Canis lupus familiaris: one gene and its partner. Each later gene encodes a partner of the first gene's protein in a complex. Links are inferred from orthologs where the notes say so. Each region holds a gene or a part of one and is shown on either strand. Other genes may lie near its edges.

Region 1 (3,651 bases):
TTTCTCCATTTTCTTTGAATAAATATAATTTCAGCAACTTTTGATATAATGATTCATTTGAGGTTGTTTAGTAATTGTCCAGGTATTATGGGCTGAAATGCTTTGACACTGGGATAGGAGAAGAGGCTTTGAACCTAAAGGGGAGAATTGTGATTGCTATCACTTTTTAAGCAATTGCATTTACTTTTTGTTTCTTTAGGGAAACCAGCCATTGCTCATAGAGATTTGAAATCTAAGAATATCTTGGTAAAGAAGAATGGAACTTGCTGTATTGCAGACTTAGGACTGGCAGTGAGACATGATTCAGCCACAGATACCATTGATATTGCTCCAAATCACAGAGTGGGAACAAAAAGGTATGCTTGTAAATAGTGTTTATTATCTTCTGAGCTCAACTTCTTTTTAATTTCCTTCTCATTTATGTGGATTATCTTCTGAAACTCAAACCTGTACTTTATTAGATTGCCCACAGGTAGAAGATCTCATGGTCTTGCCTGCTCTGAAGCCAAGGTTACCTGACTTTTAAAGATGCCTGCTGATGAAAGGTGGCCCTTCCAGAAAATATCATTCGTGGCCCTTCCAGAAAAATTATAATAATAATAGGAGCTGATGTTTATAGGGTACCCAGTATGTGCCAGTCATTTTAATGGGTCATACATATATATATGCTTGGTTCTTGCTTAATATATATATATATATATATATATATTCATTCTCTCAGTTAATGCTCTCTTCAAATGCTGTACTGTAGCTAGCCCAACTATTTTCTTATTTTTAGTTCCTGGAACTATACTTTCTTCCTTAGAATTTCTGCATGTGTTGTATCCTAGAGCAGACTTTGTCCTGCTGTTTCCCTGGTTTATTTTTTTTATTTTTTTATTTTTTTTTGCTGCAAAAAGCTTTATTGTCTTGTTTCCCTGATTTATAGTCACCCTTCCTTTCCTAGAGGAAGCCCTTCCTGGACTGTGAGGCGCCCTTCCCAGGGGCTCTCATAGCAAGCTGTGAAGCTGGGCCATTAAGGCACTGAGCACATTATAACTCTCCATTTACTTGTCTTTATATTCCATTGGATTGCAAGCTGCTTGAGATCAGGCTTGTATTCCCAGCATCCATTATAGCACCTAATGCATAGTAAGTCCTTAGTAAATATTTGTTGAATCTATGAGTTTTCTAAAGAACATAACTAGGTAGGTGTCATTGCCTTCATTTCACAGAAGAGGAAACAGCCCCATAGATGTTAAATAAAAAGGTCAGCCTCACCTGAAGAGCTGAGATTTGAATTTAGGCCTTTCTGACCCCAAAGGCCTTAGTGTGTATATCACAGCATGTTGCCACAATGTATCTTCACACTATTGCCTCCACCTTGGATAGAGCCAAGCTTTATTCTATCTCAGTTGTATCTGTGATTTCTGGATTTGACGAGGACTCTCAGAACTCTTGATGTGGGGATTCAAGACAGTGATTGCTACAGTTCTTCATGGATCCTGATCTGTAACTTCAGGAGGGTTTTTAAAATTCCAAAACCCTACAATGAGGCATCAGTAGGAGGACTGGCATTCATTTTTTAATCTATTATTTTGTTCCCTGGATTATGTCCTCATCCTTCCTTTTCATCCTATTTTAGTGAGAAGACTTCTAGATTAAAATATATGATCCCTGCATAGTATTTGACAAAGTGGGTGGTATATGTTAAGACATTTATAATAGTCATGATTGTTATATAGGTGTCTTTCATTGGAAATGAAGATCATAAGGCAGATAAGATAGCATGAAATTGCTGTTTCAGCTTTTCATGGCATTTAGTTGACATCATTAATTTTCAAAGCAGTGTGGATATTTAATATTTTTCTTGAGTCTAATATTTTAGTTATATAATATTGTGTGTGTGTGTGTGTGTGTGTGTGTGTGTGTGTGTATCTCCATATATGAATAGAGATACCTGAAAGGTTGTTCATCAAAGCATTAATGATTTTTCACTTTGTACTTTTTGAACTTTGAGAAAATTTCTATAAGAAGCATGAGTCATTTTAAAAAGCAGAACCATGCTAAAAGGGAAGAAAAGTCTTAAAGTTAATACCAATTTAAAAAATATATATAAAAAAAATTCTCAGTAGGAAAAGAAAATATGTGAAACAGTTCAAAAGTAGTATGGCTACTATTCCATAAAGTAAATTGCTGACTTCTTTTTTAGGTATATGGCCCCCGAAGTTCTAGATGATTCCATAAATATGAAACACTTTGAATCCTTCAAACGTGCCGACATCTATGCAATGGGCTTAGTATTCTGGGAAATAGCTCGACGATGTTCCATTGGTGGTAAATTTCTCCCCCTCTCCCAACAGTTTGTCATGAACAGAAAAGGTGGTCCAGGATAGCCGCTTTTTTTTTTTTTCTTTAAGATTTTTTTTTTTTAAGATTTTATTTTTTTATTCATGAGAGACACACACACACACACACACACACACACACACACACACAGAGGCAGAGACACAGGCAGAGGGAGAAGCAGGCTCCACGCAGAAGCCCGACATGGGACTCCATCCTGGGACTCCAGGATCACGCTCTGGGCCAAAGGCAGGCACTAAGCCACTGAACCACCCAGGGATTCCCTTTACGATTTTTATTTATTTATTTGACACTGAGAGATGGTGGTAGAGAGCAATCACAAGCAGGATGAGTGGGAGAAGGAGAAGACTCCTCACTGATCAGGGAGCCCAATGCGGGGTTCAATGCCAGGACCCTGGGATCATGACTGGAGCCGAAGGCAGATGCTTAACTGACTGAGCCACCCAGGCACCCCTGTCGTGTTTTTGTTTGTTTGTTTGTTTGGTTTTTTTCATTGAATGAAATTATACACATTAGTAGTCAGAAATTATATTCACCAGGTGATCACTGAGAGTGCCAAAGAAAATAATGGAGATAAAATTTGCAGTGGGGGGAAATGACATGATATGACATGCTTATTCTAGTGTATTCTTTTTCTATTTCCATTTGAATCTTGGGAAACATGAGAAACCAAGCCCTTGTTATCTTGGAATATAGTTATTTATAATGGATGACTGCTTGAGAGGCCACCCAGGAAGCTGTTTCTACAGCATGTACCTGGGTCAAACTCATTTTCCCCCCTGAGAGTGTGTTATTTTCTCCAACTTCTTAGCTGGAAGTTACATATACAGAATACAGTTACATTACCATTACACTAGTTTTTAAACAAGTTTATTTTAGCTGAAATTTAGTTTTAGATTGAGCACTTTTAATATTTACTTGCGGAATAGTTTCTTATACTTAGGGGCCCAGGCTTGGTTGAGACTTGGGTTTATGTGGCAATAAGAGGGAGAGCATGTCTCTGTATTATATAGCAAAGAGGACAGATCCAAGTAGAGGTAAAGGACTTGCACCCCAGATTTGCTTGTAGGATTTACATCTCCATGGTAGAGTGTATATCCCCTGTACCAAGTGAGAGGGTGAGCACTCACAGGTTAAAAACTATCATTTCTTGCACATGAGGTGAAAATGTTAATCAAGTCATCATAGCTCATAGTTAACCGTCATTAAAATAGCCTTTGCTGATCCCCTAGTGATATGTAGTTTCAGAGTGTGGGCCCAGTACCAACTCAGAGAGATGGGTTGTTGATGCTTGTTGATGCAGAT
Region 2 (3,651 bases), on another chromosome or scaffold:
TCTCGCTGCTGCCGATACCCCCTCACTGTGGACTTTGAGGCTTTTGGCTGGGACTGGATCATCGCGCCTAAACGATACAAGGCCAACTACTGCTCCGGCCAGTGCGAGTACATGTTCATGCAAAAGTATCCGCACACCCACTTGGTGCAACAGGCTAATCCAAGAGGCTCTGCTGGGCCCTGCTGTACTCCCACCAAGATGTCCCCAATCAACATGCTCTACTTCAATGACAAGCAGCAGATTATCTACGGCAAGATCCCTGGCATGGTGGTGGATCGCTGTGGCTGTTCCTAAGGTGGGGGACAGAGGATGCCTCCCCCATAGACCCTACCCCTAGACCCCCAGCCCGACCCCCCGACCCCCAGGCCCTAGAGCTCCCTCCACCTCTTCCCATGAACATCACACCTTGTTCCCTGCCCAAGCAGTGTGCAATACAACAGAGGGAGGCAGGTGGGGACTGATGGGTGAGGGGTTTGGGGAAGAGGGGGGCATGGTCAGGTGGGGAGTGTTTGAGGTTTGCAGGTGAGAAGGTTTGGCAAGAAGACAGAGAGACGTAGAGACAGAGGTAGCGCAGAGGGATAGAGACAGAGGAACAAAAAGAGCAGCAGTGAGAAGGCAAAGGGAGAGAGAGGCAGAAGAGAGACCAGGCAGAGATAAATGGTGAGAAAGAGGCTGAAATGGAGTAATAAGAGAAAGCCCCACACCCAGCCTCCTTTCTTCCACTGGCGAGGTGAGGGGCTTGGTATGGTTTGGGGAGATCCCCTGACTACCATTCTCAGTAGGAGGAAATCAAAAATCCATTCTTAGCTTCTTCCCTTTCTCCCTCCACCAGTGGCCAAGGAAGGGAAATGAGGGCAGGGGCAAAAGTAAGGATTTGGGAATTTTATTTATTTATTTATTGTGACTTTTCTTTCTTTCTTTTCTTTTCTTTTTCTTTCTTTCTTTCTTTTTTTTTTTTTTTTTTTTTTTTTTTTGGTATTTGGCTTTACTGAAATAGAAGGGCCCCTGCCCACTGTGCCCCATTTCTCCTTTATTCCCCCAAACCCTGTTCTCCCTCAATACCCACCTACTTAAGCACTTGTATAAAGCCTCCAGGGTTGGGAAAGGGAGCAGAGGGCAAGAGGGCTGACACATGAGTTTCCAACCCATAATCACCCAACTTAACCTTCCTGAGCCAAATGGGTTGTACTGAATTCCAGCAGTCACAGAAACAGTATGAGGTTAGGGTTTAGGAGCTGGGGGTAGGGGGAAGGGGAGGGGAGAGCCATCAACATCCAGGATCTATATGAGAGCCACTAAACTAACCCTCAGGTCCACCCTCATAGTCCTGAGTTATTTAGCCAGAGGGTGTGGCCCACATATGCCCAAATTCCCCCCAGCCAAGAGAGACCAAAGAGCCTGTGGAATACCCCTACTCCCAGCCTCTATCTTCAGGTCAATAAGAGTATAGAGATCCCAGAGTCACGAGTCTGGGAAGGGTTAGGAGGGGTCAAGAAAGTAGTAAGGAGATTGAAGGTTACAGGGCATTTGAATTCAAATCACTGCTCTGGGTTAGGGAATAGAGCCAGCAGACCAAGATGGAAGGGATTCTGGAGGGGCAGGGGGACATTTTAGTTCCCCCAACCCCAAAGCTCAGGGTGGAAGGGGGGAGAACAAGGGAGCAGAGTGTCTATAATTATTTTTATCTTTTATTTTTGGAATCTAGCAGTACCTGGCAGCAGGGAGGGAACAAATACAGTGGGGAAGGGAAAAGCATCTGACAAGGCCAGTTAGAGCAGAGGATTGGAAGGATGGAGACTCCCTGGTTTGGAATGCTAGGAAGCAGGCAGGGACTGGTTGCCACTCCAAGTCACTAGCTGGGCCTATTCATTCCTCCCACAATCCTGACCCACCATCCTCTGGACTCACTGTGCCTCAGTTTCTTCCCCTCGATGGAATGAGAAATAGCAGCACCCGCCACAGCCAAGAGATGAATTCTGAGCACTTACCACGGGCACTTTATTGGACATAAAATACCTCTCGCTGTGGGACAGATAACCAGGGCACCAGAGTAGTGGTGAAGAGATGTGAGGCTTAGGAGTCACAAGCTTCAGAGTACAAGTTCCCCTCTGCCTCCCAGATGGACAGTGCCTGAAGCCAAGGAGTTGAGAAATCTCCTGATCCACACCCTATCCATACCTCACCACCAGACCTCTTGGCTCCAGACAAGAGCCTAGAGGATGTCAAGAGAGGAGGTCCAGAACCTTCAGCAAAACTGTCACTCTAAGTAGAGCCAGCAGTTATGGGTCTGATGCAAACAGTACTGAACTAAAGCCTGGAGAGCTGACCTGGAAGGCTTGTTCTTCCCAAGAGTATGACTCTCCTGTCTGGCCCAGATGGTGGAAGGGGCAAAGGTATGTGACCACCCTTGGGAAGGTGATGTTGGTGAGCTTTAGTATCTTATTCCCATTCCCATAGTGAAAAAATGAGATGCAGTATTTGGTACAGGAATGGGCAGGGGCTGTTAAGCAGTTCAACTCACCTCCCATGTAACAGCTATGCTAACCTCTAGCCTCTCCTCTCTGGCCGTTCTATCCTTCCTTCTACCCCAGTCTTGGAGAACAAGATACACCTGACCCATCAACATCATTCACATTTCCTTGGTTGAAGGAGGAACAGAGAAGTGAAGAACAGAAGATGCCTCCTCCAAGATCAAATGCTCATGTCTCTTGATCTTGGCACAGGGTGGGGGTTGGGCAATAGACATCAGGTGACTTCCCTCTATAAATGCTAGAGAGCTGGAGCATTAGACTTGGAGGACACTTACAATATGCCCCTTTAACACCACCAAATAAAGACCTTTGTGGGGGGAGGGTCTTTTTCTTCTGAACATATATTATGAAGTCTCATTCCCTTGGTCCTCCTCACTCCCAAAGAGGCATGGGGTAAAGAGGTTTGGGGGCACAGTAAAGCAACCTAGTGGGGACTAGCAACCCCTTTCCCACTTTATGATGTGTGTGGACCTGGCCAGTGCCCCTCTGATCATAAGTAGTGTAATTATTATTTACTTTGTGTATTTGTTACACCACGTGTGTGATTGCCTTTGTTTGTTAAGGGTGATTGAGAAGTATGGGGGTGACAGGGGTACTGGAATGCCGGGAAAGGACTTCTTCACTGAGATCAAGGCTTCCTGGAGGGAACCATTGCAAAAAGGCCATCAAGCAGTTTTCAAGTTATGTGACAGAGGGCAAAGATGGCCATAGGGTGCTCTGAGTTTTGGGATGGTCACATGACACAATCCAGCACTTGAACCTGAAAAAAAATAAATAAATAAAAGCAGTCAAAGAGTTTAGAATTCAGTGATGAACTCTTCTCCCTAACCAAGCGCCACATTTATACCTTGGAGACCAGGAACAAAAGAGGATCTGAGAGAGGAGGAAACCTTGTGCTCAAGGAGTAGGAACATGGGGGTCTTTGGAGCAAGGAAAAAAAACCACTAGGGGCATTTGGGATGAGGGTGAGGACATACAGTCCTAAGGAGCATGGGCAGAGAATGGGAAGGGGAGGGCACCTAGAACAACTCTTCTCTGTAAAACTTGATCCAAAACAGTCCCAAAGATTACCAAAACTCTCTTACAGCCTCCACATAACAGAATATCTGAAAGTTCTCTT

The links. The genes of interacting proteins can lie anywhere in the genome.
Region 2: the proteins of TGFBR1 (region 1) and GDF11 are in contact, whole or in part, in a crystal structure (PDB 6MAC), measured with the Homo sapiens proteins. The link is inferred for Canis lupus familiaris from reciprocal best matches to the Homo sapiens genes TGFBR1 and GDF11. Residues at the interface, in NP_004603.1 of Homo sapiens: Ile78, Pro79, Asp81, Arg82, Phe84, Ala87, Pro88, Ser89, Ser90, Lys91; in NP_005802.1 of Homo sapiens: Phe322, Ala324, Phe325, Gly326, Trp327, Trp329, Ile330, Met382, Tyr384, Phe385, Asn386, Asp387, Ile392, Ile396, Pro397, Met399.

What each region holds. Positions count from the first base shown.
Region 1 is NC_049232.1:56,544,889-56,548,539, forward strand, and holds part of TGFBR1 (TGF-beta receptor type-1), read left to right. Parts: intron 1-199; coding exon 200-356; intron 357-2,191; coding exon 2,192-2,316; intron 2,317-3,651. UniProt on the Homo sapiens protein: Transmembrane serine/threonine kinase forming with the TGF-beta type II serine/threonine kinase receptor, TGFBR2, the non-promiscuous receptor for the TGF-beta cytokines TGFB1, TGFB2 and TGFB3.
Region 2 is NC_049231.1:498,199-501,849, forward strand, and holds part of GDF11 (growth/differentiation factor 11), read left to right. Parts: coding exon 1-294; 3' UTR 295-295; intron 296-997; exon of another isoform or gene 998-3,331; intron 3,332-3,651. UniProt on the Homo sapiens protein: Secreted signal that acts globally to regulate anterior/posterior axial patterning during development. May play critical roles in patterning both mesodermal and neural tissues. It is required for proper vertebral patterning and orofacial development.